Linked DNA regions of Danio rerio. The protein of the gene in region 1 interacts with the protein of each later gene in a pairwise test. Links are inferred from orthologs where the notes say so. Each region holds a gene or a part of one and is shown in the gene's direction. Other genes may lie near its edges.

What was found.
Region 2: the proteins of flna (region 1) and rflna interact in a two-hybrid assay, tested with the Homo sapiens proteins (2 studies listed by BioGRID). The two-hybrid records come from large-scale screens. The link is inferred for Danio rerio from reciprocal best matches to the Homo sapiens genes FLNA and RFLNA.
Region 3: the proteins of flna (region 1) and fabp1a interact in binary tests that used the Homo sapiens proteins (3 or more experiments, as listed by UniProt). The two-hybrid records come from large-scale screens. The link is inferred for Danio rerio from reciprocal best matches to the Homo sapiens genes FLNA and FABP1.
Region 4: the proteins of flna (region 1) and pelo interact in binary tests that used the Homo sapiens proteins (3 or more experiments, as listed by UniProt). The link is inferred for Danio rerio from reciprocal best matches to the Homo sapiens genes FLNA and PELO.
Region 5: the proteins of flna (region 1) and myoz1a interact in binary tests that used the Homo sapiens proteins (3 or more experiments, as listed by UniProt). The link is inferred for Danio rerio from reciprocal best matches to the Homo sapiens genes FLNA and MYOZ1.

What each region holds. Positions count from the first base shown.
Region 1 is NC_133198.1:22,691,771-22,697,479, forward strand, and holds part of flna (filamin-A), read left to right. Parts: coding exon 1-60; intron 61-142; coding exon 143-405; intron 406-623; coding exon 624-942; intron 943-1,024; coding exon 1,025-1,198; intron 1,199-2,944; coding exon 2,945-3,107; intron 3,108-3,223; coding exon 3,224-3,384; intron 3,385-3,518; coding exon 3,519-3,686; intron 3,687-3,775; coding exon 3,776-3,899; intron 3,900-4,969; coding exon 4,970-5,126; intron 5,127-5,219; coding exon 5,220-5,409; intron 5,410-5,709. UniProt on the Homo sapiens protein: Promotes orthogonal branching of actin filaments and links actin filaments to membrane glycoproteins. Anchors various transmembrane proteins to the actin cytoskeleton and serves as a scaffold for a wide range of cytoplasmic signaling proteins.
Region 2 is NC_133183.1:51,760,863-51,767,109, forward strand, and holds the start of rflna (refilin-A), read left to right. Parts: upstream 1-1,981; 5' UTR 1,982-2,210; intron 2,211-2,978; 5' UTR 2,979-3,111; coding exon 3,112-3,327; intron 3,328-6,247. UniProt on the Homo sapiens protein: Involved in the regulation of the perinuclear actin network and nuclear shape through interaction with filamins. Plays an essential role in actin cytoskeleton formation in developing cartilaginous cells.
Region 3 is NC_133180.1:78,474,976-78,481,379, forward strand, and holds fabp1a (fatty acid binding protein 1-A, liver), read left to right. Parts: upstream 1-2,056; 5' UTR 2,057-2,092; intron 2,093-2,434; exon of another isoform or gene 2,435-2,445; 5' UTR 2,446-2,452; coding exon 2,453-2,519; exon of another isoform or gene 2,520-2,930; coding exon 2,931-3,103; exon of another isoform or gene 3,104-3,230; intron 3,231-3,332; coding exon 3,333-3,422; intron 3,423-4,849; coding exon 4,850-4,903; intron 4,904-4,930; 3' UTR 4,931-4,938; intron 4,939-4,968; exon of another isoform or gene 4,969-5,065; coding exon of another isoform or gene 5,066-5,200; 3' UTR 5,201-5,450; downstream 5,451-6,404. Other genes in the region: histone-lysine N-methyltransferase SMYD1a, read right to left, coding at 5,066-5,200.
Region 4 is NC_133187.1:13,763,879-13,769,512, reverse strand, and holds part of pelo (protein pelota homolog), read left to right. Parts: intron 1-3,798; coding exon 3,799-3,845; intron 3,846-3,944; coding exon 3,945-4,018; intron 4,019-4,161; coding exon 4,162-4,233; intron 4,234-5,634. UniProt on the Homo sapiens protein: Component of the Pelota-HBS1L complex, a complex that recognizes stalled ribosomes and triggers the No-Go Decay (NGD) pathway.
Region 5 is NC_133188.1:25,415,950-25,421,658, forward strand, and holds part of myoz1a (myozenin-1a), read left to right. Parts: intron 1-3,192; coding exon 3,193-3,380; intron 3,381-5,021; coding exon 5,022-5,286; intron 5,287-5,709. UniProt on the Homo sapiens protein: Myozenins may serve as intracellular binding proteins involved in linking Z-disk proteins such as alpha-actinin, gamma-filamin, TCAP/telethonin, LDB3/ZASP and localizing calcineurin signaling to the sarcomere.

The sequences.
Region 1 (5,709 bases):
CAGTAGCAATTGCCCCCTCTCTGGACCTCAGTAAAGTTAAAGTGGCTGGTCTTGGAAGTAGTAAGTAATCTATTTCCTTGTTTTGTTTGTAATGGAATACCCTTAGAATTACCACATATCAAACGGTTTGCTCTTTCTACAGAAATGACTGTTGGAAAGGATCAGGAGATCACAGTCAAATCTAAAGGTGCAGGCGGTCAGGGCAAAGTTGGCGCAAAGGTTACTGGTCCATCTGCTAAATCAGTGCCCTGTAAAGTTGAACCAGGCCTGAGCCCAGAAACCAGCCAAGTTCGTTTTATCCCAAGAGATAAGGGACCCTATGAGGTGGAACTGACATATGATGGCGCCCCCATCCCTGGCAGTCCATTCCCCATCGAAGCCATTGCACCTACTGACCCATCCAAGGTGAGAGCACTTTGGAAATGAAGTTAAACATTACTGCTGGTTTAACAAGACGACAAAAAGGCGTCAGGAAAACTCTCTCGTGGGCTGTTTAGTCTATAAACTAATTTTCTTAGTGTTGCGCAACACCTCAGACTTGGCATCTGAGCCTCATGTTGGCTTTAGCGGCAGAGAAAATGTACTCTTTGATCCATATCCTGACATTTTGTTCTCATGTGTAGGTGCGATGCTCTGGGCCAGGACTGGAGCGGGCGAAGGTTGGCGAGCCTGGACAGTTTGTGGTGGATTGCACTAATGCTGGCCCTGCTGAGTTGACCATCGAGATCATCTCTGACAATGGCACTGAGGCTGAAGTCCACATTCAAGACAACGGCGACGGGACCTACACCATCACTTACGTCCCTCTCTACCCTGGAGCCTATACCCTCACCATCCGCTACGGGGACCAGGATGTGCCAAACTTCCCAGCAAGACTCCATGTGGAGCCTGCTGTGGAGACCAGTGGAGTGAAAGTGTTCGGACCCGGAGTGGAGGGCAAAGGTAGTGCAGATTTCTGAGATTTGTTTCAGGAATCCGCTGTCTGTATTTGGATATTTGGTTACTTTTGAATGTTCGCCTGTAGGTGTTTTCAGGGAAGCCACTACAGATTTCACTGTGGATGCCCGTGCGCTCACTAAAACCGGAGGCAATCACATCAAAACCTGCATCAACAACCCATCGGGCAACCGCACTGAAGCACTGATCCGAGATCTGGGAGACGGCACATATCAAGTGGAGTACACGCCTTATGAGGAGGGTGAGTGTTAGGGCTGTTTCTGTTTCAACTTAACATGATTAAAAAAACAAAACAATTGGAATTCTTTGTGCAAATTTCTGAAAACTGTTCTATTTGATTCTTATCCATCATGGGTATTATGTGTTTAACAAACCTGTGGAATACAAGACCATATATGGGGTGCGTGCGTGATTGCGTGTTGTTTTTTTCAACAAGGAATATCACATTTTTTGTGGATTTGTATAAACAGATTTTGACATGAAGCTATTCAAGAGTGCAAATGAAAAACTTGATAATTTTCATTACATTTATTGTTCAAACATTATGTCTGGGGTATTTGAAAGATTTTTAAAAGGTGCTTTAAGTTTGTGAATCTCTCTATGAATTTTGATCTATCTGTTATTGAAAGTACAGTTGGGCTGTAGAATTATGGCTAAAATGAGAATCATGATTCGCACAATTTTCAAGATCTCGATTTTTTTTTTTTTTTTTCACGATTCTGTATATGTAAAATAAAGGTTAATAAGAGTAAGCTATTATTATTGTTATTTCTCAAATTTATGGTAAAACAACAACAATAAGAATATCAGCCATACGTGTAGTTTTACTATTGGTTAAAATGCTCAATTTTGTATAGTTCTGGAATTGTGCATTTGAACAGACTTTAAATATGTCCTGGTTGTTTATTCACAAAGTGATTATCAGAATACAACTTTTCATAATTTTGAAGTTGAATTATTATGTTTGAGACTTGTGCTTGTCATTTGTCATTGACAACAATATTAGATAATTTTTTCCACTGGTAAATTGAAACATGTCATTATCGGATTCCCTCTTGCATTATATTCAACATTATATAGGCTAGAGTAGTTATTACTGACCTAGTAAAGATTTATTCTCATACGCAACACTGTTGGGTATGAAAGAAAAAAGATATCAAATGCTTGTCGTAATCATTACGGACTTTTGGTTTTACTTTCACTGCCGAGTATGCTTATGACATGGCTGCCGTCACTTTGAGAAAAATAAAAAAATTAAAAATACACACACAAATCATACTTCTCGCACGACCCCCAAACAATTGCTCTGTGCATCAAACTGAATGTTATTTACAACTTTATTACCTGTTATTCACAGCCTGTGCAGGTTCTGTTCACTAAAAGAAGACATCATTGGAGGGCACACGCGCTCTGTAAACAGTACACTGTAGTAAACAAACAGTATGTCCGCTCATGCGTGAATACATCACATTAAGTCAGAAATTAAACTTTGGAGTAAATTATACCTCTTAAATACATCAGGTGACACTTTAATCGCCATTTGGAGGCGTCCGTGCTGCTGAGCAACGCATATAAAACAATGTGAAGTCTTGTGCACCTATAAAAATATAGGTGACTGAATCGTAAAAAAGAAGAATTAAGATCATGTGTAGAGTTGAATCAAAATTGTGACCTCTTAAATACAGGTGCTTAAATACAGTTAGGATAAAAAGAAAAACTTACCAAGCATTTATTATTTTGATAAAACATACAATCTTTTCACTCAAAAAGAACACTGCAGCTTGTCCCCTATCTTTCTACTCTAAGAATTATTCATAATTTTTAAATTTTTTTATTTTAGTAGTTTAATACATAAAATAAACAAATTTGATAAGGTGTGTACATCCATGCATTAAGGTGGTTATTTTAACAGAAATATGCACCGCTCTTTAAAATGGCTGTGAAATGACAGTACTTCACACTAATCTTTTGTACCGTATGTTAACAGGTACACACAGTGTTGAGGTTGCATATGACAGCTCCCCGGTTCCCAAAAGCCCCTTCCGTGTGCCAGTGACCGAGGGCTGTGACCCGGCGCGTGTGCGTGTGCATGGTCCAGGACTTCAGTCTGGCATCACCAACAAACCTAACAAATTTACCGTGGAGACCCGGTGAGCAGCATTCTGCTTTGCGTTTCAACCTTCAGCTGCTGCTCCTTCAGTCAAATCAAAGTCTTAGTAGATCTTGGATTAAAGTGCTCTGCCTCACTACTTTGTCTTTTGTGCAGTGGGGCTGGTACTGGTGGACTGGGGCTGGCTATGGAAGGACCTTCTGAGGCCAAAATGTCCTGCACCGATAACAAAGATGGCAGCTGTTGTGTTGAATACATCCCATATGAGCCAGGGACATACAACCTCAATGTCACCTATGGAGGCCAACCAATCACTGGTCAGATTTCATAAATGTTATTATATGACTAATTTTATTATTATTATTAGTTTAATTATATTTATATTCTTCTTTATTTTCCAATTCTCATAGTCCATATCCAAATATTGTTTGTTTTTTTTGTCCTGCCACAGGAAGCCCTTTCTCTGTACCTGTCCATGATACTGTTGACCCAACTAAAGTGAAATGTCAGGGCCAGGGGCTTGGAAACAACGTGCGTGCCAATATCCCACAGGTCTTTTCTGTGGATGCAAGCAAGGCTGGTATGGCGCCACTGCAGGTCAGAGTTCAGGGACCCAAAGGTGAGGAGTTCGATTTTTAAGAATCCTCTTCTTTTTTTTTTCTCTCCATTCCACTTAAGGTTGTTGGTGACAATATTTATGTCTTGTAGGTGTTGTGGAGCCTGCTGAGGTGGTGGATAATGGTGACCAGACTCACACAGTCAGCTATGTGCCCACAAGAGAGGGGCCATACTCCATTAATGTTCTGTATGCTGATGAGGAGATCCCACAGAGGTGACTTGGAAAAACAGATCAGTCTTCCTACACCATAGAGATACCACTTCACCCAAATAATTTTCTAGGCCATGTTTTACTTGCTATTATTATGGATCTAGCTGAGATTTATTACCAATTTTGACCATAATCAGAATTTTGTTACAAATCTCATTTTTGCTGCACTTTTTCACTACACGTCTTGTCAGTAGTGACTCTAAAGAGAATCTTTAATTAATCTGAAATTGTAATTACCTCTGGAAATGGATGAACAAACTCGAAACATTTTAGGCTACATTTTTACTTGTATTTTGTGTCATTAATTGATCATTCATATGTTAATACCAGTGTAAATGGTGCATTAGTGATGTGGTAATTACTACACTGTAAAACTCAGTAGTCAATTTTATCAAACTAAATGAGTGTCGGTAACTCAATTTACTGAAAGTTAATTCTACTAATTTGAAAAGGGTTTTGAACTTTGTTGAAAGTAACGAGTTAATTACATACCCCATTACTTCAACTTGGAGTAAGTTCACAGTACTCGTATAGATATTAGTTAACTGAAGTTGTTTGTAGCAATCTGTTTCGATAAACAGTTTGAGTTGCCTTAACTTATTGGGTTTTACAGTACTCAATTGGTTTAAGTTCTCTTTATAATTGGGTTCTACTGTGCTCAAATTCCTTTGTTTACTTAAATGGAGTAAGTTCACAGTACTCATTAGGATTAGTTTTTAAACTTGAATGGTTACCTTAACTTTTTGGGTTTTACAGTGTATAAACAATGGTTCATGCAGTAATATACAGTACATACATTCTGTGAGTAAATATGATTATATCAGACTTTTAACACCCTAGATAGTGAGTATTAATAATTATTTAAATGACTATTTAACAGCATGCAGTATTTAATAGCAGATTAGTTTATGCTCGGGCCTCAAATTTGGCATTTGAAATATTGTGAAATTTGTGGCATTGGCATGGACTACCGGAGTTGGTATTATAGCAGGTCTGGTGCATTTTTAAATTCCCTTGGTCCCTGTCTTTCCCTGCTCTTTATTTTCCCTCTCTCTTCTGCCTTCTTTATTCAGTCCTTATAAGGTGAAGGTTCTGCCCACTCATGACGCAAGTAAAGTCCGTTGCAGCGGTCCTGGCCTGAATACCACTGGTGTTCCTGCCAGTCTGCCCGTGGAGTTCACTATTGACGCCAAAGATGCAGGAGAGGGACTGTTGGCCGTCCAGATAACTGTGAGCTGATGAGTCACTTTACAGCCGTAGCATGCCCACTGTCTAGTACAACCTTTTTAAATAAATCCATTTGCTTCTCAATGCTTATTTTAGGACCCTGATGGGAAGCCAAAGAAGGCTAACATTCGTGATAATCAGGACGGGACCTACCTTGTGTCCTATGTGCCTGACATGACCGGCCGTTACACCATTCTTATTAAGTATGGTGGTGATGAGATCCCGTATTCTCCATATCGCATTCGAGCCCTGCCTACTGGAGACGCCAGCAAGTGTACAGTCACAGGTATGTTTGTACATTTACTGATCACTTCCACATGTACAGTGCACAAGCTGTTTATATTCATTTTAGATTGAACTATTGAGCTGCCAGAGCTTTGGAGGTGTATGATGCACAGCATGTCTAAAAGTCAATACTGTGGTTTGGCTCTACATGACGATCCAATAAAGAAGGCCTTGATGATAATTCAATATGGATGAGCATAAATACTGTCATTATTCACCCAAGCCTGAACATAATTATAAGAATTTGAGGTTGGTTCACACTCTTGTGATAACGAAATAAAATAAGATCTCCAGTACAAAA
Region 2 (6,247 bases), on another chromosome or scaffold:
CACGTGATCCTCTCGAAATTAGTTTATGAATAAACTTCACTTAATTTGAATTTTCGTCTCAAATTTACCAAGTTCGCTCTACAAAATGAAACTCTTAGCGCATATGGACTGTTAATTTGTATTTAACTGTTACTGTACGTAAATGGAAGTTTTACCTAACATAATTCAAATTCAAATTCAAATGCTCAAACGATCAAATAATAAATCTAAATGCGTTCTTAAACAAGAAATTAAATGTATTTGATATTTAATTTTAATGAAATGAACAACTCAGAAAAATCCTATAATAATTGAATGACAAATCAAATGCTCAAACTATAATTCAAATGGAGGAGCTAATTTCTGATTCTTGTGATTACACACACACAGCTGGAAGCTCATGATGGACTGAATGCTTGGATTTTGTTTGTTCTTATAATGTATTATCTCTTAGTACCGATTTCCAAAAGAGTTTTTGTGTTTACTCAGTTTCAAACATTTTAGGTCAGTGCAGTTGCTGTTTTCAAAAATTGAGTACATGAGAAAAAGCGAAAGGAAATAAGAATTATTTTTTGTTAGGAGTTTTTTTGTTTACTCAGCTGGCGTTGTTCAGGCAGAAATAGATTTTAGCACCTGTTTTATAAACTACATAGCAGACAGGGCTGAGAAACACTTATATTTTGTTTACAATATGCTCAGTTATTACTAATTATTTATCATTTATCAGTGTGGCATATGTGGTTTGAAGAAACCACACAGATGCTCTGAAGCGGTGTTTAACCATGGATATGGTTGTAGTGACGTCCATTATGAAAATTAACCAGGGTTTTATTATAGTGAATGTGTAGTAGCCATCGTTTACCATTATTAATCTTTTACAGCCATATTTAAACTATGGTTTTTGGCACAAGTTTAATTTGTGGTCACCTTGGTTAAACTACACTTTTCATTTTATTTTCTTCTTTATTTGTAGTAAAAACATGGTTAATTTCGTTGTGTCACTCTTTTTTTTTTTCTGATTGACTTAAAATTAGGTATTTTCTAATCATAACACAAGCTCCTGATTCTTCGAAGACTTAAATTACACCCACAAAAAAAAAAAAAATAATAAAATATATATATATATATATATATATATATATATATATATATATATATATATATATATATATATATATATATATATATATATATATATATATATATATATATATATGAATTTATAGTAAATATAGTGATTTTGAACCATGATATAATAAATTACCTGAATTAATCTGTTGTAGAAGTAACACAGTTTCTATGTATGGTGACCTAACTGTAGTAATAAACAATTGACCCATTACTATGTTTTTTTACTATGTTTTTTAATATAATTGCGTATATTATACTACAATAAACAACAGTTTGCAGTTGTGAAACTAAAGAATACTGCGGTATTTACTACAGTTTGTCACTTCATTACAGATAATATGCTGTAGTGTGTTGTAAATACTATAATACAGTAAAATATACTTGGCTAGTTTGGTTCAAAAAGTGTATTTACTATGAACTACTATAGTACTTTTTCATGTAGGCAGAGAAGGAAAGTTGTGTATCGGCCAAAGATACAGGTCACCCTAATTTTTCAGAAGTGTGACACACTAATCCCACAGTAACCCAGTACACTTTCTCAAGAATCAAGGCAATTTAAAGCCACAAATGTTCTTCAGAAATCGCAGAGGTGCATTTTTTCTCGCAGAGGTCAGTTCTAAAGCATTTTAAAACGTGTAAATTGATTTACACTAATGCTTTACACACACTTTCGCGGTTTGCTTTATATTATTCTCTAAAAGCCAAACGTTTTGCTGAAATGTAGGGCAGAGCTGTCAAACGCAGCTGTCGGTCCCCCTGCTGGTTGGAGCTTGTATTGACATCATCTGCTCGGCCGCTCTGGATTGGCTCCAGGCGCATAAAGGCTGGCGGTCAGAGTGCGCGCTCTCTACTCGTTCTCAAACTGGCGCAGCGCTGCTGGGAGACACTTCTGCACTTTCAGGAGGACCACAGACGAACAGAAGACACCGGCTATAATCAGCTGGGGACTTTTGTGAGAATTCAGCGAGTTCTGCTGTTCACTTTTGAAGCTGCCTGTGAGAATATAATCGCGCCTACTTTGGATTTTACTCTTTGAGATCATGAACTAACGTGAACTTCATTCACGGAGTTTTAAACGGCGGGATTTATACAATTCAAAGGTAACCTAACGTTAGTCTCTTTAAGGGACAGCTATCGCTTTTATACAGTCTGAATCTATTATAAAGCGCATTAGGAGTGGCTTTTGTTTATGTTTTAATTAAATAAAAACAAATGCATGTGACTGGTCTGCGTATTATTCTGTAACGAGCACTTTTGGAAACATGTTCGGCGGCGTTTCCAAATCTAGTAAGATGCCTACCTAGGCGGCATTTTGGGCATCAAAATATGTGCGCTAAAAAAAGTTCTGGTAGTGTTTTAACTCTCTTCAAAAACACGCTATGTACACTGGCACCATGCTAGATTTAGTACAGTCATTATACATTGTAATTATTTAGTAGCCTAAATGCTTTTTAACGAATGAAGTCAGTTGGTAAACTACTGTATAGGGCCATGTACTGTAGTTGTCAAACTGAGTTGTCACAAGGATTATACCTCAGTAAGCAAGGTTTTAGGTGTTCAGGAGAAGTTGTCACATCTTATATTGGTATATACTTACACAATATTTAGTGTTTTAAGTCAGATCAGCAGTTTGAAGTAGTTATTACATTAACATTTTGCTGTTTCAGAAATGTTGTTTAGGTTTAGACACATTTTTATATTTAGAATTAAATTTAGATTATTTTTTTACAACCTACTTAAATGTGAATGTATCTGTGTTAAAAATGACTCTCAAAAATCCTTTAAACCTGAGGAGAAATTGTGTACAAGTTGTGAGAACTATCTCTGTTCTTCCATATAAACCATATATGTTATTACTTTTGTTTCAGGCTTCTGAAGGAAACAACAGGTCTCCCTGTGTGGCTTTGTTATGGGACTTTAACTTTAAACACATCTTGCATCGTCTTTCTTCTTGGAGTGAATTTGGCTAGTTTAAAAAATTATAATTGCGCTCTTCCAGAAATGGTGGGGCATTTACATTTGCAAGCTATGGATGACAGTTTGAAAGGAAAGAACCGAGAGGGACTGCTCGATAGTCCGGATTCGGGACTCCCTCCAAGCCCCAGTCCACCCTTCTACTCTCTGTCGCCGGGGATTCTCGAGTCGCGGTCCGCCAGCTGCTCAACCCCGACCGAGCTGCAAGGATACTGCAGAAAGGAGAGCCGGGAAGGCAAACTGGTATGCAATCATCTCAAAGCTTTAGAGGAGAACCAAGAAGTGCATTTTCCTGGATCAACATCCTTTGCAGGCAGTGGAACAATATCCTTATCAGCAAATCAGTGCACTGATTTTAAGGATAGGGGTAGGGTATCGTTTGCTGTCCAGGAAAAGTATGTTGATGCAGGAACATGTCCTACTTTGGTAAATCGTACTATGCAGTATTTAGACATTATGTATGACTCAGGTTTCAAATAAACACATCACATCATGATGTACATCAGACATATTTTTATTACAATCAGTTTTCATTGACTACATTCACATCAAGGATATTACTGAGAGCAGTGTTCAGTATGGTTACACTCACACACACTTCAGTTACAGACAAGTGTGACTTCTGCACTTTATAAGTGAGTGTGTTTTCTCTTTGGGGATTTGGAGAATGAGCTGTGTGTCATCCAAAGGTTTTAGATAGAGTTGTTGTCTAACATGAGTTTTGTGAGCGGAGAGATGAGCTTGCATCTTAAATGCACCCAACTTTTTTTGGATCGAAAGTTGACAAAAGAAATAATAACTTGGTTCTGTGCATGGGTTTTTAATTGGATGCAGATCTTAAATGTGAGCTTGAGGTTGTGTGTTAGAAAGCGAAAGGGTTTAAGCAGGATAAATGTTTTGATGTGTCCTGCAAACACCAGAGACAAGTCTGTCATACTAGAAGATCCTTTTATTAAAATTTAAATGGGCAATGTTTGCTTGAGTTGTATTAGAACTTTAAAAGAGAGGTTTCCTCAAATCCAAGGTATTTAAAGGCTTGTAGACTGATTTTTAACAGGATGTTTTTGGTGAGAAAATCAAAATAGTTCAGATATTAACTCTTGTAGGAATCCTTCATCTAGGGCTGGGCGGTTAATTGAAAATTAATCGAAATCAACATTCAGAACCTATAATCGATTGAATTTTTCCTGAACAATTTTTTCAATTACTTTCCCTACCGCATGTGGAGTCACATGACCCAGCTCTGTTAAACGCTGAGGGTGATTAACTTTGCACTTTGCAGCCACATCTGCTCTCTGGTCAAGTAGTACGATGGACCCATTTTTAGCCTTACTTTGCACTACATTGGCGATGATTGGAAGCTGCATCAGAGATGCCTTGAGACGGCATATTTTCCATTACATTAAAATCATTATTCACATTAATATATTTGTTTACAGAAGAAATGCACTATTTAAAATATTATTTACAGCCTGGGTATACAAAATTTATTTTATTTAAAAGAGAAACTGCTTAATTTCTACTTTTAATATGAAATAGATTGAAAATGTTAATTAAAAATATTCAAAAGTGCAAGTTGTTTAGGCAAAGTGTGCTTTAATTTCAGTTGTTCAGAATTGTTGTTTATTAATAAATCATAGATAGTGTGTGTTTCCTTCAGTTATTATAAACTTAATTTATGCACCAATCATACAAAAACCTCTTACTTGCAATTTGGGAGCATATTTATGGAACAAAACTTTTTAGTGAACTATGATGGCAAAAAAAAAAAAAAAAAAAAAAAAAAAAAAAATATATATATATATATATATATATATATATATATATATATATATATATATATATATATATATATATATATATATATATATATATATATATATATAAAATAATCATTCATTAATCGTAATCGAGTTAAAATGTTCAATTAATCGAGGTTTTGATTTTAAGCCAAATCGCCCAGCCCTACTTTCATCCATATGAAAAATGAAACGAATGCTTATACAATGTGTACAATAATGTTGAAAGAGTTATTCTGTTTATGAATATTAACATATTTATGTTAACGTCACTCTCAGCTTGGAAAGTGTCTGGATGTTCATTATTAGAATATCGCAACAAATATTTTTCTACTTCCTTTTTAGCTTCTAATTAAGTTATGATAAGACAAATCTTAATGAAATCCACTGTGAAAATATCTGAGCATTGTATCATGTTGGATCTTTTGTGTTATGTGTGCATGAGTGCGGCATGAGAAATAAGCTGCTGACTGCAATTTTCTTAACTCTAAAAGTCAGCAAGACCCGAAAGTTGCTACATACCTTTATTTCAGAATAATGATGTATTTTGAGAAACTGAGATCAAAAATTGAGTAGGTGGGGTTTTATTTTTGCACAAATAAAAAATCATATTTTACTCAACTGCAAATAGTTGGAGGGGTCGTGGTTTAGCATATTTCAACCAAGCTGTCAAACTGAAATCATCAGAGAAGGATTACAGAAATAAATGGTTTGAATTTATTTTAATTATTTTTGTTCAATAGTTTAATCTACACAGATTAATTAGCCACAAAAAAACATTGTTAATTAAGATTTGTTGCAGACCCTACAGAGTCATTAATAACAAAGGTTTATGAATTACACAAACAGAACCTTTAATTAAAAATGACAAGATCACATATTAAATTAAAAATACACATGAATTAATAATTCACAATAGGATCAATATTATGCATTGATGGGGACTTTAAATAGTGTCATATCAGCTGCGATATGGAAGTCACCATTTGTGATATTTGCTCTAGTCATTGTCACTATGGCTACAAATGATATTTGCAAACTGTAAAGGGGTTTGACTTCAGTTACTCATCATAGCTGATTCTGTATGAACAGCAGTTTAAAAGTGAGCAATCAGTGATTGAAAGAAATTAGGTTTAGTCCAAACAAAATGTTTAAATATTGAAGAACATATACATTTTTTTTGTGAACACAGACAAACACTGTTGGCGATATAGAAGCCAGGGACAAATAATGAGAAGTAATAGGACAAAATCCTGAAATAGAAAGGGGTTCAGGTGCTCATGCCTCTCGAGACACACTCTAATGAAGTGAGGATGACAAGGAGCGGCGAGAGAGAGAAACAGACAGAGAGAGTTTCTGTAAAC
Region 3 (6,404 bases), on another chromosome or scaffold:
TCAATTATTATCTTATACAATTGTAATACAATTATTGAAAGTATATGAGTGTGTAAAGATATAATTAAACCAAATGCAGGAGTGTCAATGCAGTGCACATTGAAAATACCAATAAAAGCACATCTTCCTTCAGCTTAGTCCCTTTATTCATCAGGGGTCGCCACAGTGGAGTGAACCGCCAACTATTCCAGCATGTGTTTTACACAGCGGATTCCCTTCCAGCTGCAACCCAGTACTGGGAAACACCCATACACTCTCATTCACACACACTCATACACTACGGCCAGTGTAGTTGATCAGTTCCCCTATAGCGCATGTGTTTGGACTGTGGGGGAAACCGGAGCACCCGGAGGAAACCCACGCCAACACGGGGAGAACATGCAAACTCCACACAGAAACACCAACTGACCCAGCCGACACTCAAACCAGCGACCTTTTTGCTGTGAGGCAACAGTGCTAACCACTGAGTCACCGTGCTGAACGGTCACCTGTTTTTGAGATTAAAAATAAACACATACAAACAAATCTAAATCAATTCCTGTGGTCTTTTTAATTACTTCATAAATCCATAAACAAAATAAATCAGCAGTTAGAAAGGAGTTATTAAAACTAATATGTGTTGAAATAAAGGCGGCACGGTGGCTCAGTGGTTAGCACTGTGGCCTCACAGCAAGAAGGTCTCTGGTTACCAGCTGGGTCAGCTGGTGTTTCTGTGTGGAGTTTGCATGTTCTCCCCGTGTTGGTGTGGGTTTCCTTCGGGTGCTCCGGTTTCCCCCACAGTCCAAACACATGCGCTATAGTAGAATCAAACTAAATCAGGGTTTCTGCAGGTTTCTCAGAGTTATATGTAAGACTTTTCAGACATTTTTAAGACCTTAATGAATTAATTTTTAGACCCATAAAGGGCTAAATGCAAAAGATTTTTTTAATAGCCCAGATGGAAAAGATTTTATTTGCCCTATCAATTTACACTTAATTATAATACTTTTAATAATACAATAATAATTTAATAATACAATTTTTGCATTATTTTAGATTTTATTTCTTAGCAAAATATTTTGCATATTGTGTGAAATCAAGCAAGCTCTACATGTTCCCATACACTTTTATTCCAACATAAACTTAAAGAAAAATAAACAAACAAAAGTTTTAAAAACTATAATTAACTAAATGTATGCACAACAATCAGTCCAGGTCAGTATCCTCAGCAGTAAATACATGGAGCACTTTTAAACAAATGTAATAGTAAGGAAAATTATTTATCTTAAAAGTAAAATATTGCATTAATTTAAATAAAAGGTTTAATGTTTTATTGAGAGGATTGTGGGTGATTGTATGGGTTTTGGTCAGATTTGGTAGCAATACATGAACAAAGAAAAATTAAGACCTGTTTAAAACAGATTTAAGATCTCCAACACAATATTTCAGAACATTTAAGACTTTTTAAGGCCTAAAATTTAGATTTTGAGATTTAAGACATTTTAAGACCCTGCAGAAACCCTGTAAACTGGCCGAAATGTACGAGTATGTGTGTGATTGAGTGTGTATGGGTGTTTCCCAGTACTGGGTTGCAGCTAAAAAGGCATCCGCTTAGTAAAACGCATGCTAGAATATTTGGTGGTTCACTCAGCTGTGGCGATCCCTGATGAATAAAGGGACTCAGCTGAAGGAATATGAATGAATGAATCTTGCAAAACATCTGACATAATATTACAGTATATACTGCCATACGGCATAATAAATCAGTTATTAGAAACAAGCTATTAAAACCAGTATGTGTTGAAAAACATCTTCTCATAAATAAACAGCACTTGGGAATTATTTGAAACAAAAAATAATAATTAAAATGAATATACGTGAGAGTCGTGAGAAAGCGGAAACGTCTTGAGTTGTGTGCAACCTTTGGACATTTATTCCAGACTGGCGCATTTTCTCAGTGGCATAATCATAATCTGATCTGTCTTTATATAACGGTGTATTGTGCATTGATAGGTTTAAAGTCTGACGTAACAAACCCTCAAGGAGAAGAAAACCGCCTGTAGGAGCAAAACGCTGCATTTCTGCAGGATCTCCTGAAGCTGAACACACACACCACAGGTAAGAGTTCAGATTTAAAGACGCAGTACACCTAATAATCAAAATATCTGTCATCATTCAGTCTTGCTTTCAAGAGTTTCTTTCTTCTGTTGAACACTAATGAGGATATACCGAGGAATGCTGCATATATATATATATGCACACACACACTAAAAATATCTGCTAATTACAATTTCCAGTATTTTGCAAGTGTTTTACATTCATTTGTGGCTGTGAATTGCATTATGGAAAGTTGATCTCTGCTCTGTCGACTTTTGATGCTGAAAAAAAGAGACTTTTATAATGTAAGAAATCATGTTAGCAGAGTAAAGTCTGAGTAATAATGTGTTGTGTTTACCTTTGATTAATCAGGCTGATGGCGTTCACTGGGAAATATCAGCTGGAGTCTCACGAGAACTTTGAGGCGTTCATGAAGGCAGTCGGTGAGAGAAAAACACATCACTAATGCTTTTCTTGTCTTGTTTCTAGTCCAGCTAGCTAAACAATCTTAAATCAAGAAGCATTTTCTAGACAAGCACAAAATATTGTCTTGTTTTAAGAAATAATGAGTCAAAATAAACTTAGTTTTTTATTAAAACGAGCAAAATAATCTGACAAGGAGGTGAGAAAAACTAGATGATTTCACTTACACCATTGGCAGATTATTTTGCTTGTTTTAATGATAAACTCTCTTTATTTTGACTCATAATTTCTGAAAACAACACATTATTTCTTACTTCTTTCTCTAAAAATGCTTCTTGATGTGAGAATATTAGATATTTGGATTAGAAAGCAGGAAGTTCTCATCGGTATATCAGCATGCAGGCGTATTTCACAGCTTGGGTTTTCTCCAGGTGTGCCGGATGATGAGGTCGAGAAAGGCAAAGACATTAAGAGCATCTCTGAGATCCATCAGGACGGAAAAGACTTCAAGGTGACGGTGACGGCCGGAACTAAAGTCATTCTGTACTCCTTCACTGTGGGCGAGGAGTGTGAGCTGGAGACGTTCACTGGAGACAGAGCTAAAGTCAGTGTAGTCTGATCATCAACTATATTACTGTAGATCAACAACAACATAAACTCACATAACATTTACTGTAAAAAACAAACCCTAGTAGCTGTGGTTGCCAGTTTTTCACCATGAAAAATACAGTACAAACCATGCAAATCTTTTCAAATTTACACTATACATTTTTTACAGTGAGGTTTTGTGGAATTGATCAGTGTGTGTGTGTGTGTGTGTGTGTGTGTTTTAGACTGTGGTTCAAATGGATGGTAATAAGCTGACAGCGTTTGTCAAGGGGATTGAGTCTGTGACGGAGCTGGATGGAGACACTATCAGTAACGTAAGTCAACATCATCTCTTCATGGCAGACCAAATTAACCTAAAAAGCGCCCTCTTCATAACTGCTTTTTTATTAGTAAGAATGTTATTAGAGCTAATAGAGCTACTAAGAATGGTATTAGAGCGCTATATAATTATTATCTTTTACCAGAAAGAATGCAGAGAGATCTGTTATTGTGTTATTACAAGAATGGTATTGGAGAGCTCAATAATTGAATTTCTACTAGTTAAAAATGGTATTAGAGAGCTCTATAATTGAATTTTTACAGGATTTACAGCATTAGAGAGCTCTATTTTACAAGTAAGAATGGTATTGGAGAGCTTTATCATTGAATGTTTACCAGTAATAATGGTATTAGAGCTTTATAATTGATTTTTACTAGTTAAAATGGTATTAGAGAGCTCAATAATTGAATTTTACTGGTAAGAATGGTATGAGATAGCTCTATAATTGAAGTTCTACTAGTTAGAATGGTATTAGAGAGCTCAATAATTGAATTTTTACTAGTTAGAATGGTACTAGAGAGCTCTATAATTTAACTTTTACTAGTTAGAATGGTATCATTGAATTTCTACTAGTTGGACTGGTATTAGAGAGCTCAATAATTGAATTTCTACTACTTGGACTGGTATCATTGAATTTCTACTAGTGGGAATGTTATTAGAGAGCTCAATAATTGAATTTCTACTATGGTATTAGAGCTCAATTTTAGAATTTTACATTTAAGAATGTATTAAAGAGCTCTATAATTGATTTTTTACTAGTAAGAATGGTATTAGAGAGCTCTATCATTGAATTTCTACTAGTGAGAATGGTTTAAGAGAGCTCAACAGTTGAATTTCTATCATAGTATTAGAGGTCAATAATACAATTTTACTTTTAGGAATGGTATTAGAGAGCTCAATAATTAAATATTTACTATTAGGACTGGTATTATAGAGCTCTCCCATTTAATAAAAATATATATCTTTAATGTAGGTTTCTTCTAGTAAAATATAATTGTAGAGCTCTCCAACTGGAATTGTTAATAGTGAGAATTTAATTAAAGAGCTCCCTAAATGCTTTACCTAGTATAAATCCATTAGATCTGTAATTCTAATCAATGGAGGTCAACGGCGACATTACCAGTGAAAATGTAGTTATAGCGCTTTCTAATTGTGTTAATTACTACTAGTATGGATTGCATAATAGGGCTCTCTAAACATAATTGTTAGTATGAAGAACTGAATTCCAGAGCTCTCTAATAGTAACTATTAATAGTAAAAGATAAATGAACAGAGCTTTTTGTCAATGTTAAAATGAAAGATGAAAGGAGACTGAAAGCTGTGGACAGGTTTAAACATGTCAAACTTGACCATGTCTGAATTTGGGGTGTGTGATTAGTAACTCTGTGTACAGTTTAACCTAATTAACGTATCTGGTTTCAGACTCTCAGCTTTAATGGTATCGTCTACAAGAGGATCAGCAGACGCATCTCATGATCATCATCATCATCTTCATCTGTGTGTTTGTAAAGGTGATTCTCCTACAATCAATCACAACACAGCAGCATCTGCAGAAATGCATTTATTGCATGAATGATCGCATGTTTCTGAGTTTGTTCATGTGTGTGTGTGTGTGTGTGTGTGTGTGTGTGAGTGTGTTCATGCTTTGATCTGCACTTGTTCTCCAGCGACGCTCATGGGTTTGCTGGTGAGGGCGGCTTCACGCATGCTGTGATAAACATGTTCGTTCTGCTTGAACATGCGCAGCTCCATCTCTGTCTGCCTCCGCATCGCCTGAAAACACACACACACACACCAGCATCACACACACTCTTCTATATTCTTCTGCTATTGATGGGATCATGAACATGATTGATAGACTGTTTAGTTGCTTCATGGTGAGACAGCAAAGGTTAAATCAGTTTTTCATGCACTCTATACTGTATTTCAGACTAGCGGAGAATGCTGAATAGACCTGGATGTGTTTGTTGTTAAATGTTTGCATCTGTAGAGTTCAATGACAATAAATATCTTCAGTTTGAAACATTGTGAGTCAGAAATCTCCACTTCAGCAGCACAAACACACAACTTTATCCATTACATTATGATGCTGTGTATTGTTTGTTGGCGTGTATAATGGTGTGATTGTGAGTATTGTTGTGTGATGTGTTTATTATGGTGTGCAATATTGTGTGATGGTGTGGATTATGATTTGATGTGTGTGTATAATGTTGTGTATTGTGCTGTGATGGTGTGTATTATAGTGTGATGTTGAGTATAATAGTGTGTATTAATGTGTGATGGTGTGTATTAGTGTGATGTTGAGTACAATAGCGTGTGTTGATGTGTGATGGTGTGTATTATAGTGTGATGTTGAGTATAATAGTGTGTATTAATGTGTGATGGTGTGTATTACTGTGATGTTGAGTACAATAGCGTGTGTTGATGTGTGATGGTGTGTAATGTTATATGATGGTGTGTATTATAGTGTGATGTTGAGTATAATAGTGTGTATTAATGTGTGATGGTGTGTATTGGTTTATGATGGTGTGTATTATAGAGTAATGGTGTGTGTTATAGTGTAAAGTTAAGTATAATAGTGAGTATTAATATGTGATGGTGTATGTTTTAGTGTGATGGTATGTCTAATAGTGTGTATTGATGTGTGCAATAGTGTGTGTTGTTATACAATGGTGTGCAGCAACAGGTGTTGTACCTCCAGATCTCTGCTGATGGGGTGATGGTGTGTATCGATGTGTGATGGTGTGTGTTATAGTGTGTATTGGTGTTTGATGGTGTGCCGCAGCAGGTGTTGTACTTCCAAGTCTCTGCTGATGGTTTGTATTATAGCATGATGGCGTGTGCATTATAGTGTGATGATGTGTATTATAGTGTGATGGTGTGTATTATAGTGTGATGGTGTGTATTATAGTGTGATGGTGTGTGTATTATAGCATGATGGTGTGTATTATAGTGTGATGGTGTGTGTATTATAGCA
Region 4 (5,634 bases), on another chromosome or scaffold:
GTATTAATTAATCCATTATGAAAACATTTTAAACATTTTCGGAGTCAGTTTTAGCAGTGATACTTTTTTTTCTCTCTCTTCTCCAAAGTAGAAAAAGGAATTGGCAGCATATTGTGTTCATCTAATATTGGATGGAAAGGAAGGAGAGTTCAGCCCATTATCAAAGAGCTGCGCTGAATTATCCCGAAATGCAAAGTTTATTTCTTGAAATCAGTGGAATTTTGATAGATTGCTTGTGATTCTTCACACATTCACATACATAAACAGATCCTGAACAGAGATTGGCAGTATGCTTGGAAATTATAATAGATGGCACATTGACGTGTTGAAGCAACGGACCGGAAAGTGGATATATTATATTATATCTTAGGGCAATACTTCAAATGTATGGACATACACGCACACACGCCAAACAGCAGCAGGGCAGAGGTGCGCCAGTCACTGAATCCAGCATATAGGCCAGGGGTCACAAATCTTGTATATGGAGGTCCGGTGCCCTGCAGGGTTTAGCTCCAACTTGCCTCAACACAGCTGCCTAGGTGTTTCAAGTATACCTAGTAAGACCTTGATTAGCTTGTTCAGGTATGTTTGATTAGGGTTGGAGCTAAAATCTGCAGGATACCGAACCTCCAGGAACAAGTTTGGTGATCCCTGATATAGGGGTTCTGAACTATCTGCTACATTTTGTCATTTTATGCACTGTGTTTGTCATAAAGTTATCTGTTACTCAAATGACAGCAGTCTGTATTTAGCTTTTTGCTTGTAGAGTAGCTGTTTTCATCCACCTATTTTTATGTGCATTTTGGATATGCGCATAAAAAAAAAAAGGTTGATGGAAACGGCAAGATGCGCATAAATTTTGAAAATGTGCATACAAAACATATGCGCATAAGTGAGTAGGATAAACATTTTATTCGATAAGAAAATATGTGCATAAACTAAGATGGAAACACTTTTACCGCACAAATTTCAGTATGCGCATGTGATTATTGTTATAAGAGATCATGTGTTGATAAAAAAGTGTGTAAATAGACAAATCATTTGAAAAGTTGTTTTGTTTGTTCTAAATTGTCGTAACCATTTCAGTATTAGTGTTATTACATTATTAATTACCTCCAGAACTGTCAAAAGTGTCTGTGCCCCCAATTTCACGCATTCAAACACCACCATTTGTTCAATGCGCGTCGGCATCGTCTTCTGAAGCGCAAGCCATTTATTAAATTAGTAAAAGATTGACGCAGCTTCTACCGTAGCAAATATCGTTTTTACTGTAGATATTTGCCTCCAGTTAATCTGGAAGTGACAATTTTTGTTCTCTTTGACTGTTTGGATAGAAACACTGCTTTATTCACACGTCTTTGTTGTGAAATTCCAGTTTTGCTCATGAAATTGATTTGAATATTTGGATGGAAACATAGCTGGTGGCTCTGAACTGTCAAAACACTCTCAAAGTGCTTTTTCGGATGCGAAAAGTGGAAAAAAATCAAACCCGGTTCGATTTTATAATGGACAAAAGTTTTGGAGGCATTGTGTCAATACGATTCACACAACATGAGGTTGAATTAATTGGTCATCCTTTATTTTGATGGTCAGTTTGTTAACTTTAAGTTACATTGCATCTACATGCTAACTAATTCTCATTAAATTACAAGTAGACTGTAAGGTTGGGGTTAGAGTTAGTGTAAGTTGACATGTACTTGCAAACTTTCTTATAGTCAGTCAAATGTCTGTTGAATATCTGTATCAAAACTGTATCAACTGTATCTTCTAATACTCAAATGGGCCATCAAGTGTTACCAATTAAATTTTTAACGTACAAAAACCGATTCAAGCCTCATTCACATGACGAGGAACAAGCAACCGTTTATTTCAACGGAGAGTGAGCGACTTCCGGCGACCTTCGTCTACGCGAGTGACCGCTGGCAAACAGGTGGGCGTGTCTAGTGACAAAACAAAGTTGAGAATCCTTCAACTTTATGCAAATGAAGAGCGACTTTTTTTGAGCGACAACCAGTAGGAGCACCAGTAGAGCTCATGTCATCTTTCTTCAGCTCGCTTAGAGGCCGTTTGTATTCTCCGTGCTGGAGACCTACACAGACCTGCTAGTGTGAATGAGGCATCAGTGTGCAATAACTTTTACCGTTAGTTTGTTATGAGGGAATGATGCACAAAAGAAAACCCAGCCCCCTACTTTATTATTTCATTAGTTTTGAGTGCATCCACATAAAGAAGTCTCAGCATCTTCCAGTTCACATGGATTTTAAATATTATCTTTATTAAGAAATACATTTTAAAAGTGTATTAACTTATATGTTTATTTGTGTTTCCATTTATAAATCAGTTTAAGGTTTATGGGACAGCAAGATGGCGCAGTGGGTAGCATGCAAGTGTGCCGCAAGCCTGCGTTTGAGTGAAGGTCTCGGCCGTTAGATCGCCCCCTGGGGGCTGGCTGCAGTACAAGTCATAAAGCCCGCCTTCTCCGTGTTAATGAAGGAGACTTGAGCCCAAATAAGAAAATTAATTACACTTGCAATAAAATGTCCCGAAAGATGGTTCTGGTCGATTAAGGCACTGGTTATTGTGCTGAAATAGGTGCAGATCTTCATTTTTGTAAACAGTTTGTTTTTAGCAGTAATTTAATGCTGGGCGTGTCATCGTGATTGAGAGCTGTGATTGACAGTTTCTTAAAGCAGCGCGTCTGAGCTTCGGCAGAAGACTGAAGTGTTATTATTCGATTTCTGTGTTATTTCACCATGACAAAATGAGTTCAGCAGTAAACTACAGTTTCTGACATACATGATCCTGGTGGAACACTGTTTATTCGCTAAGGTCAGGGCTTTTTTCGGGCTTTTTTAGTTTGCTAATACACGCCTAGCCACCCAGATAGCAAAATACACTCGGGCCAGTTCCGGTTAGATTCTCGCCTGTCGGAGACTTACCCATCAGAGCTCAGACTGACTACCTCTGCTGGACCTACTCCGGATGCCTGGACTTACTGCCCGATTCCAGCCCGAGTCAATCGAGCCAGATGCGGCGGCCGAGCGAGCTGGCGCTGCCGCATGCGAGCCGGAATCAGCCCGTGACGCCGAGAGTAGGTTATGCGCTGCGGCCCAGAGCCGGCACGATTGAATATATAAAACCCTCATATTTGTTAACGTTATTACATCCATTTGTGTTGATATGACAGCAAACGCATGCTGAGAAGTTCGGGGGGCGTGGTTGATTTTACATAAAGCGTTTGGTTGGAAGCTCGACTCATTTTCGCAGCTCCTCCTCTGGCTCCATCAGACAGTCCTTCTGCGCATGTCAAGGCTCCAATTTCAGCAGTCTTTTGCGACAGTTTGTGCCCGTCAAGCAGGCGTTTTGCCCTCAAGGCGTTCAATGGTAAAAGGGGCTGTCGCGTCGTCCATATTTTTTACAGTCATTGGTAGCATGATTACCTCACAGCAAGAAGGCCGCTGGTTTGAGCCTCGGCTGGTTCAGTTGGCATTTCTGTGTGGAGTTTGCTTGTTCTCCACGTGTTCCTGTCGGTTTGCTCACAAGTTCAGAAGCATGTGCTAAATTGTCCATAGTATATGTGTGCGAATGAGTGTGTCTGGTTGTTTCCCAGTGATGGGTTGCAGCTGGAAGGGCATCCGCTGCGTAAAACACATGCTGGATAAGTTGGCGGTTCATTCTGCTGTGGCGACCCCTGATTAATAAAGGGACTATGCCGATAAGAAAATAAATGAATGCTTAAAGTTTATTTTTAGAAACATATTTTATAAAGTTTCAATGTGCGATGTTTGCTTTTTATAGAGGTGCTGTGTGATCCAGCAGTCACGGCTCGATTATCTGACACCAAGGTGACTAGGTTTAGTTTGTACAATTGCAAATATAACTTCTGGCTTTCTGCAAGCACAGGGTGGGGTTTATTACTGTGTGATATTTGTTTTCTGTATTAGGCAGCTGGAGAGGTCAAGGCTTTGGAGGACTTTTACAAGATGCTTCAACAGGAGCCGGATCGAGCTTTCTACGGGTGATCACAATCTATCATTTAAATGAGCAACTCTTATCAGTAGTACACTCAACCTTAATAAGGATAACTTTTGTGTGTGTGTTTTTTTAATCAGTGTAACTTATTATTTATGAGATATTTGCATTCATTTTGGTTTTCTACAGGTTGGCTCATGTGGAAAGAGCAAGTGAAGCTTTGGCCATTGATATCCTGCTGATCAGTGACACACTATTCAGGTACTTTTAAAAATCCCTATTAAATGTTCTGTTTATAAATGTATTGTCTTGTTTATTGTGTACTTAAAGGGATAGTACACCCAAAATGAAAATGTACTCTCTATTTACACACCCTCAAGTGGTTTCAAATCTGGTACACAAAAAAAGAAATTTATAAGAAAACTAAAAACATGTAACCATTGACTTTCATATTTCTTTTTCCTACTATAGAGGTCAGTGGTTACGGGTTTTTTACCACTTGAGCATGAGTAAATAGAAAGTAAACATTCTTTTTTGGTTAAACTATGGTGGGTGAATTTGCAATTAATTGCTAAAGCTTTTATCATAATAAATGATATTATCACTATACCTTACAATACTTATCGCAACTACGTTGAAAGGTATAATTACCAAACATTACCTAGTGTTTTGATTTATTGCATATACTTGGTTATATTTAATTGCAAAAGGATGATAAAGTGCTATAGGTAACACAGTTTCATTGGTAATCATTAGGTAATGCACTACAATCAACAATAAGAAATGGCCGTATTATAGTTATATGTTAAAGTTAATAATAAATATAACTTAATTAGTTATTAACTTCATTTATTAAAACTAGAATTTCTCACTTTATTTTCTTAGTTTAAACTAAGATCACCTAAGATTAATAAATGTTTTTGTAGTTGTCATTGCATTGACTTTAAATTAACTGATGTTAAAACATTTAACTGTACTGTACAGAGTTAATGAACAAAAAGCCTATAAAAAGTCAATGAATTTTCAATTTCGTTGGTCAGATTAACATAAACATGTTAATGTTTGAAAATAAATCTTCTATTAAGTCTTCCAGCATTTGGTGGTGTGAAAAACAACCACTGCAAATAGAATCTGACTATTCTTTAAAGCACTCTAAAAATTGAAATCTCAAATAATTACTTGGTAGAGTAGTTTGTGCCCACAATATTAATATCACGCAAGTTCATAAACACGATATATTGAATATATGAATATCAGCGTACAGTGTTCAGCATATACAAATACACAACTCCCAAATCTATCTTTTAAATTCATATTTTTAATAGGAATCTATACAATATTATAATTGTATATATACTAGATTAGTCAGTACTGAAGTCAAATCTAGAGCTTATCTAACAAAATAACTTATGATAACAGTCCAAAAACTAGTACACCCACATTTATGTTATAGAAAAATATTAAATACAAATTAAAAAAAGAGGGAAAATAAAGAGAAGAAAAATGTAAAAATTTAGTTGAAATTTTGTAAGTTGTAATTGTTTTTACGTTATTTTGCTTGAATTGAATTGTATTATCTTTTCATTTCTAAATATGTTTGGTGATTAAAATATTATTTGTATAAATATATTTGTTTTAAAAATCTGTTTTGTTTAAATGCAC
Region 5 (5,709 bases), on another chromosome or scaffold:
CAGTGGCAACATGTATCTTGTAGTCTGCATAGATGAAATGTCAGCTGTGTCTCTGATTATTACCGGTGCACCTCATCATTATAATCATGGTACACGTACTCCACTGAAGGAACATTACATAAGGGGCTCCTGAGGAAATTAAGCCTGAGTGATATGTTCTTTTTTATGCTTTGTGAATAATGTGAAATAGATGTTATTATGAATAAAAAAAACTGTTACAGAAGAGTGGATAATTTAGTTTAGGCTATACTCTTAAAAATAAAGGTTCTGGATTGAAATTGATTGGCACTGAAGAATTGGCACTTTTTTAACATTTCCATTGAACAAAAGACACTGTGTAATGGATCAAAAGGCTAATAATATTATTAAAATGTTTCTTTGAAGAACTGGTCAGTAAAATTATCTTTGAGGGGAAAAAATTTGTTCTTCTATGGCAAGCTACAAAAGCATCTTTCAGAATCTTTATTTTAAGTTACAAACAGATTCTTACTAATTTAATTGTTGAAATGTTTTTCCTTTGGAGGGAATAGCCACTTATTTTATGTAGAAATATGCTTGCTAAGTTCCAAAGAAACGAATTGTTTATACTAACACCGTCATGAAGATTTCCAAAGTAGAGTGGGTGGTAAGATGAATAATAGTGTTATGATTACAATGCGAAAAACAGATATAGAGAGTTTCCTATGATAATGATATCTTGCACAGTTAATGTTTTAGAGAACTACAATAATATTATGATGCATTTATTACATATTATTGCTAACATGAATTTTATTTCCAAATGTAAATTAATTTATTGCAGCATTTTTGTAAAGTGCTACAAAGACTACATAGCTACATAGACAAGCATGTTTTGACTACACTTTATTTTGATCAATTTTAGACATTCTGTTGTCTATAAGTAACTCTCTCATTAGAGTAGTATTGGTAGACTGTTAGTAGGGTTAGTAGAATAAGTTATGTTTTTGGATTTTTAACCTTATAGTCAGTATATGTCTGAAGGACCATCAAAATAAACAGTTAGCAGAACAGATAAATCTGACCGTCTACTAGCATGCTAGTTGACATGTTAATGTTGCATAATGGTCAAAACAAAAAATTATTGTTTAATTAATGGCAGGTGCGGCGCTTGCTTCACAGCAAGAAGGTCGCTAGTTTGAGCCTTGGCTGGGTCAGTTGGCGTTTCTGTGTGGTGTTTGCATGTTCTCCCCGTGTTGGTGTGGGTTTCCCCCACAAGTCCAAAGACATGCGCTATAGGTGAATTGGGTGTGCTAAATTTGCTGTAGTGTATGTGTGGGAAAGAGAGTGTATGGGTGTTTCCCAGTGATGGGTTGCAGGCAGCTGGAAGGGCATCTGCTGCATAAAATATGTTCTGGATAAGTTGGCGGTTCATTCCGCTGTGGTGACCCATTATTAATAAAGTGACTAAGCCGAAAATAAAATAAATGAATGTTTAATTAAAAATGAGATATTTAAAGTATCCAGCAGACATGATTTTTTGACTCTTTCTAGAAAGTTCACAGAGACAGAAATGGCTGAAAGCATGTTATATTAATATTACAAAAGCATCATATTTTATTATTTTGAAGACTCACACTACACAAATAAATGAATACACATATACACATAAATGACAATCACCTCTTGATAAACCTAAGAAACCCTAAACTGCAGATTACCTTTAAAAAAAAGAGCTTGTTTAAAAAGAACAATAAATAAATAGTTGTTTTTTTTTCTCCAGTACAACTAAAATATTTAAATTGTTCAATAGGTAGCTATAACTAGTTAATTTACAAATGTTTCTTTCAAGAACTGTTCACTGTAAAGAACCGGTTCTATAAAGAACCCCAAATGTATGTCTTCACTGACATCACTCCAAAATAATATATTTGGAACAGTCTTGGAAAAAGTGCATGTTACTTTATGTGGCAATTAACATTTAAATCAGATAGTATGCAATAGTCAACATTTGGTCAACAGGAATAGGTGTTGTTCATTTTGTTTTTGCTTGGTGGAAAGAGTACTAAAAAAATCATACTCAAGTAAAAGTACCATTGCTTGCCCAAAAATGTAGTGTGAGTAGAGTAAAAGTACCTGTTGTAAATATTACTCAAAGTATGAGTAAAAAGTAGATCTTTCAAAAGTACTCAAGAGTAGTGAGTAGTGAGTATTACACTGTAAAAAGCTGTTACATGTAATTTGTGTATGTGTGTGGAAACGTAACATTCTGAGGTGCATTTAGTTATTGCCCAGCAGGCACACAACGTCATAAGACATTAATATTAGGTTAGATTTAGGTTGTGATGTCAGGTGACCAAAATTCAATGTCTAGACAGCGTCTAAGGACATCATTATTTTGACTTGTAATAACGACATCTAATGATGTTGATATTTGGTTGATTTTAAGTTGTGTTGAAAAGTGACCAAAACCCAACGTCGAGCCAACGTCATATTGACGTCAAATATATTTATTCATCAGGTATGGCAACTAAAATCCAACATGTGATAGACGTCGTAGTGGAAAAGATCACACAAACATCATTAGATGTTGATATTGAATTGATTTAAATTAGATGTTGATATTTAATTGATTTAAGGATGGACATTGGACTTTGACGTCGACCTGACGTTGGGTTCTGACGTCAACCTGGTTTTCATTTTCATGGTCTTCATTATGATGCGATTTGCCTTCTGTGTGATTTGATAGAACAGGAATCCCAGGACTGATTTTTCAAAAGTAGTGACTGCTGATTGAAGGAAAGTAGTGGAGTAAAAGTACAGATACATCACTAAAAATGTACTCAAGGGAAAGTTAAAGTACAGATTTTTAAAACTACTTAGTAAATTACAATTCCTAAGACAACCTACTCAATTACTGTAATTTGAGCATTTTTAATTAGTTACTTTACACCACTGGTTTTAGGACAGCTTTGTAGAAAGGGGATGATTGATTAAAGATGATGTTGACAACCGTACAGCTAGTAGGAAGTATTTCTCACAGCTGTGTCAATGTAGAATGCCAGATATGCTGTAATGTGAAGATTGCAGATTCACAGACATAGTGGAGCAAAGAACAACCCAACTTGCAGTTATTTATTTCAAACAGATATGGCGACAGAGATTCAAAAGCTCAATGCTGTAGTGTCATGGTGCCCATTGAAATGTAGTGTAACTCTTTTTTTTATTTTCTAGAGTATGAATCAGAGCCAGAGGCCTCAGAGTTTGACTTGGGGAAAAAGATCAGGGCACCCAAGGACATCATGCTAGAGGAACTGTCCCTTAATAAGAACAAAGGCTCCAAGATGTTCAAGATGAGGCAAATTCGAGTGGAGAAGTTTATCTATGAGAACAACCCTGACCTCTTCAGTAGTGAGTCTATGGTAAGGCAGGCTAGAAGTCAAAGTCCTATGCATATTTGTTCACAGATTCAAGATTATTTACATAAGATTGTCATTACTCTTAAATTAGTTCTTCTGTGTATCAGTGTTCTACCTGCATTCAGACTCTTTATATTGATCAAGGGTAATACTAAAATAATGGTCCATTAGGTAATGTTAGTTAATGTATTAACGAACATGAACAAACAATAAGTAATACATTTTTTAGGTATTAATTAATCTTTGTTATTGTTAATTAATGTTATTTACAGTAATGAAAAAATAGGACACCCCATGAAAGCCTGGATATTTTGAAAAAAAATTAATATATGGTTATTTAATCTGAATTTTAACAATACTGAAATATTAAGGTAATATAAAAACAAAGCAAATAAAAACGTATTTAAATTAAAGATTTAATTCTACAAAACGGCATATTCTAACTGAGGAAAAGGTTAGAACATCTCACATTTATTCACACTTAAAATGGCTCAAATCACAGACAGATGTACCACAACAGATGCACGTTATTAGTAAATCGTTACTCAGCATTTTGAATGACGCTTGCCATTTCTAAACCTCTGAAATTTATTTTGATGTGCTCCTGACTGTTGAAGTAAAAGTGAGCACCAAGGTTAGAGCAAAAGAGCTGTCTGAGCTGTCTTAGTCGTCGCAGCAAGTTTACACGCAAGATGCTAAAAGAGGTCTCTAAAAACCCTAAAATGTCTTCACGGGACCTACAGCAGGCTCTGGCTACTGTTGATGTGAAAGTGAATGCTTCTATAATCAGAAAGAGACTGCACAAGTTTAACTTACATGGGAGGTGTGCAAGAATAAAACCTTTGCTTTCTAAGACAAACATCAAGGCCAGACTGAAGTTTGCCAGATAGAATAATGACAAAGACCAGGGCTTCTGGAGTAATGTTCTTTGGACAGATGAGTCCAAAATTTAACCATTTGTACACCAGAACAGGCAACATATTTGGCATTTAACGACAACATTCCAGGAAAAAAAACTCATATCAACTGTAAAGCACTAAGATGGAAGTGTCATGGTTTGGGGTTGCATTGCTGCAACAAACAAGGTGCACATGCAAGAAACCCCTCAAACAGAATTCTGCATTGAAAAGTGTGCTACTCTGTCCTCAGACCGATGTCAGAGACTGGTAGATGGCTAAGAAATGTCTCACTGTAGTTATTTCAGCCAAATGGGGTTACACAAGCTATTACGGGGTAGGGTGTCCTAACTTTTTTCTTGTAAAATTACATTTACATTTTTTCAGCTAAAATTGTTTAATCACATTACCTTAATCTTTTTAAAATTGAGATTAAACAACCATATATTAAAAACCTTACAAAAACCCAGGGTTTCATAGGATGTCCTAATTTTTTCACGACTGTAAGTTAATTAATGTTAATTAATGTTAAAAAGCACAATGTTAGATTTTGATAATGCATTAGCAGTGTTGAACTATGATTAGTTAATGCTTTACAAGATTATTCATAGTTTGTTAATGTTAGCATTAACTAATTGACCAAGTGTTACCTGATCAAGTTCTTATTGCTAACACTAAATGTTTCAAACATGATCTGAATGGTGAATTGGAAGCACCTCCACTAATTATTATGTTACTTTTTGTAAAGGATAACCTCCAGAAGTTTGTGCCCAGCCTGGGGGGCCAGATGATGGATGTTGGTGGACGCCTGATTGGTGGACAGATGGCTGGGCATGCTGGTGGGGTCGGCCAAGCACCCGTGCCTCCTCCTAAACCCGGAAGCTTTGGCAAGGGAGCCGGGGGTGGGCTGCTGGCTGGTGGACTCGCTGGAGGACCTGGAGGTGTCGGAGGTGTTGGAGTGTCAGGAGGAGGAGTAGGGGGAAAGGATGGTCTGTCAGTAGATATCTCACTGAGTAAGTATAGAGAAAAGTTAGAGACTTTTTTTACACTAGCCAGATCGCCCATATATGAAACTTATAGTAATAAAAAGCATAGTTAATTAAAAATATGATATGCCTATCATTGTACTAGAAAAGCTAAGACAGGCGACACGGTGACACAGTAGGTAGTGCTGTCGCCTCACAGCAAGAAGGTCGCTGGTTCGAGCCTGGGCAGGCGTCAGTTGGCGTTTCTGTTTGGAGTTTGGATGTTCTCCCCATGTTCACGTGGGTTTCCTCCGGGTGCTCTGGTTTCCCCAACAGTCAAAAGACTTGCAGTAAGTGAATTGGGTAGGCTAAATTGTCCGTAGTGTATGTGTGTGTATGTGTGTGAATGAGTGTGTATGGGTGTTTCCCAAAGATGGTTTGCAACTGGAAGGGCATCTGCTGCGTAAAACA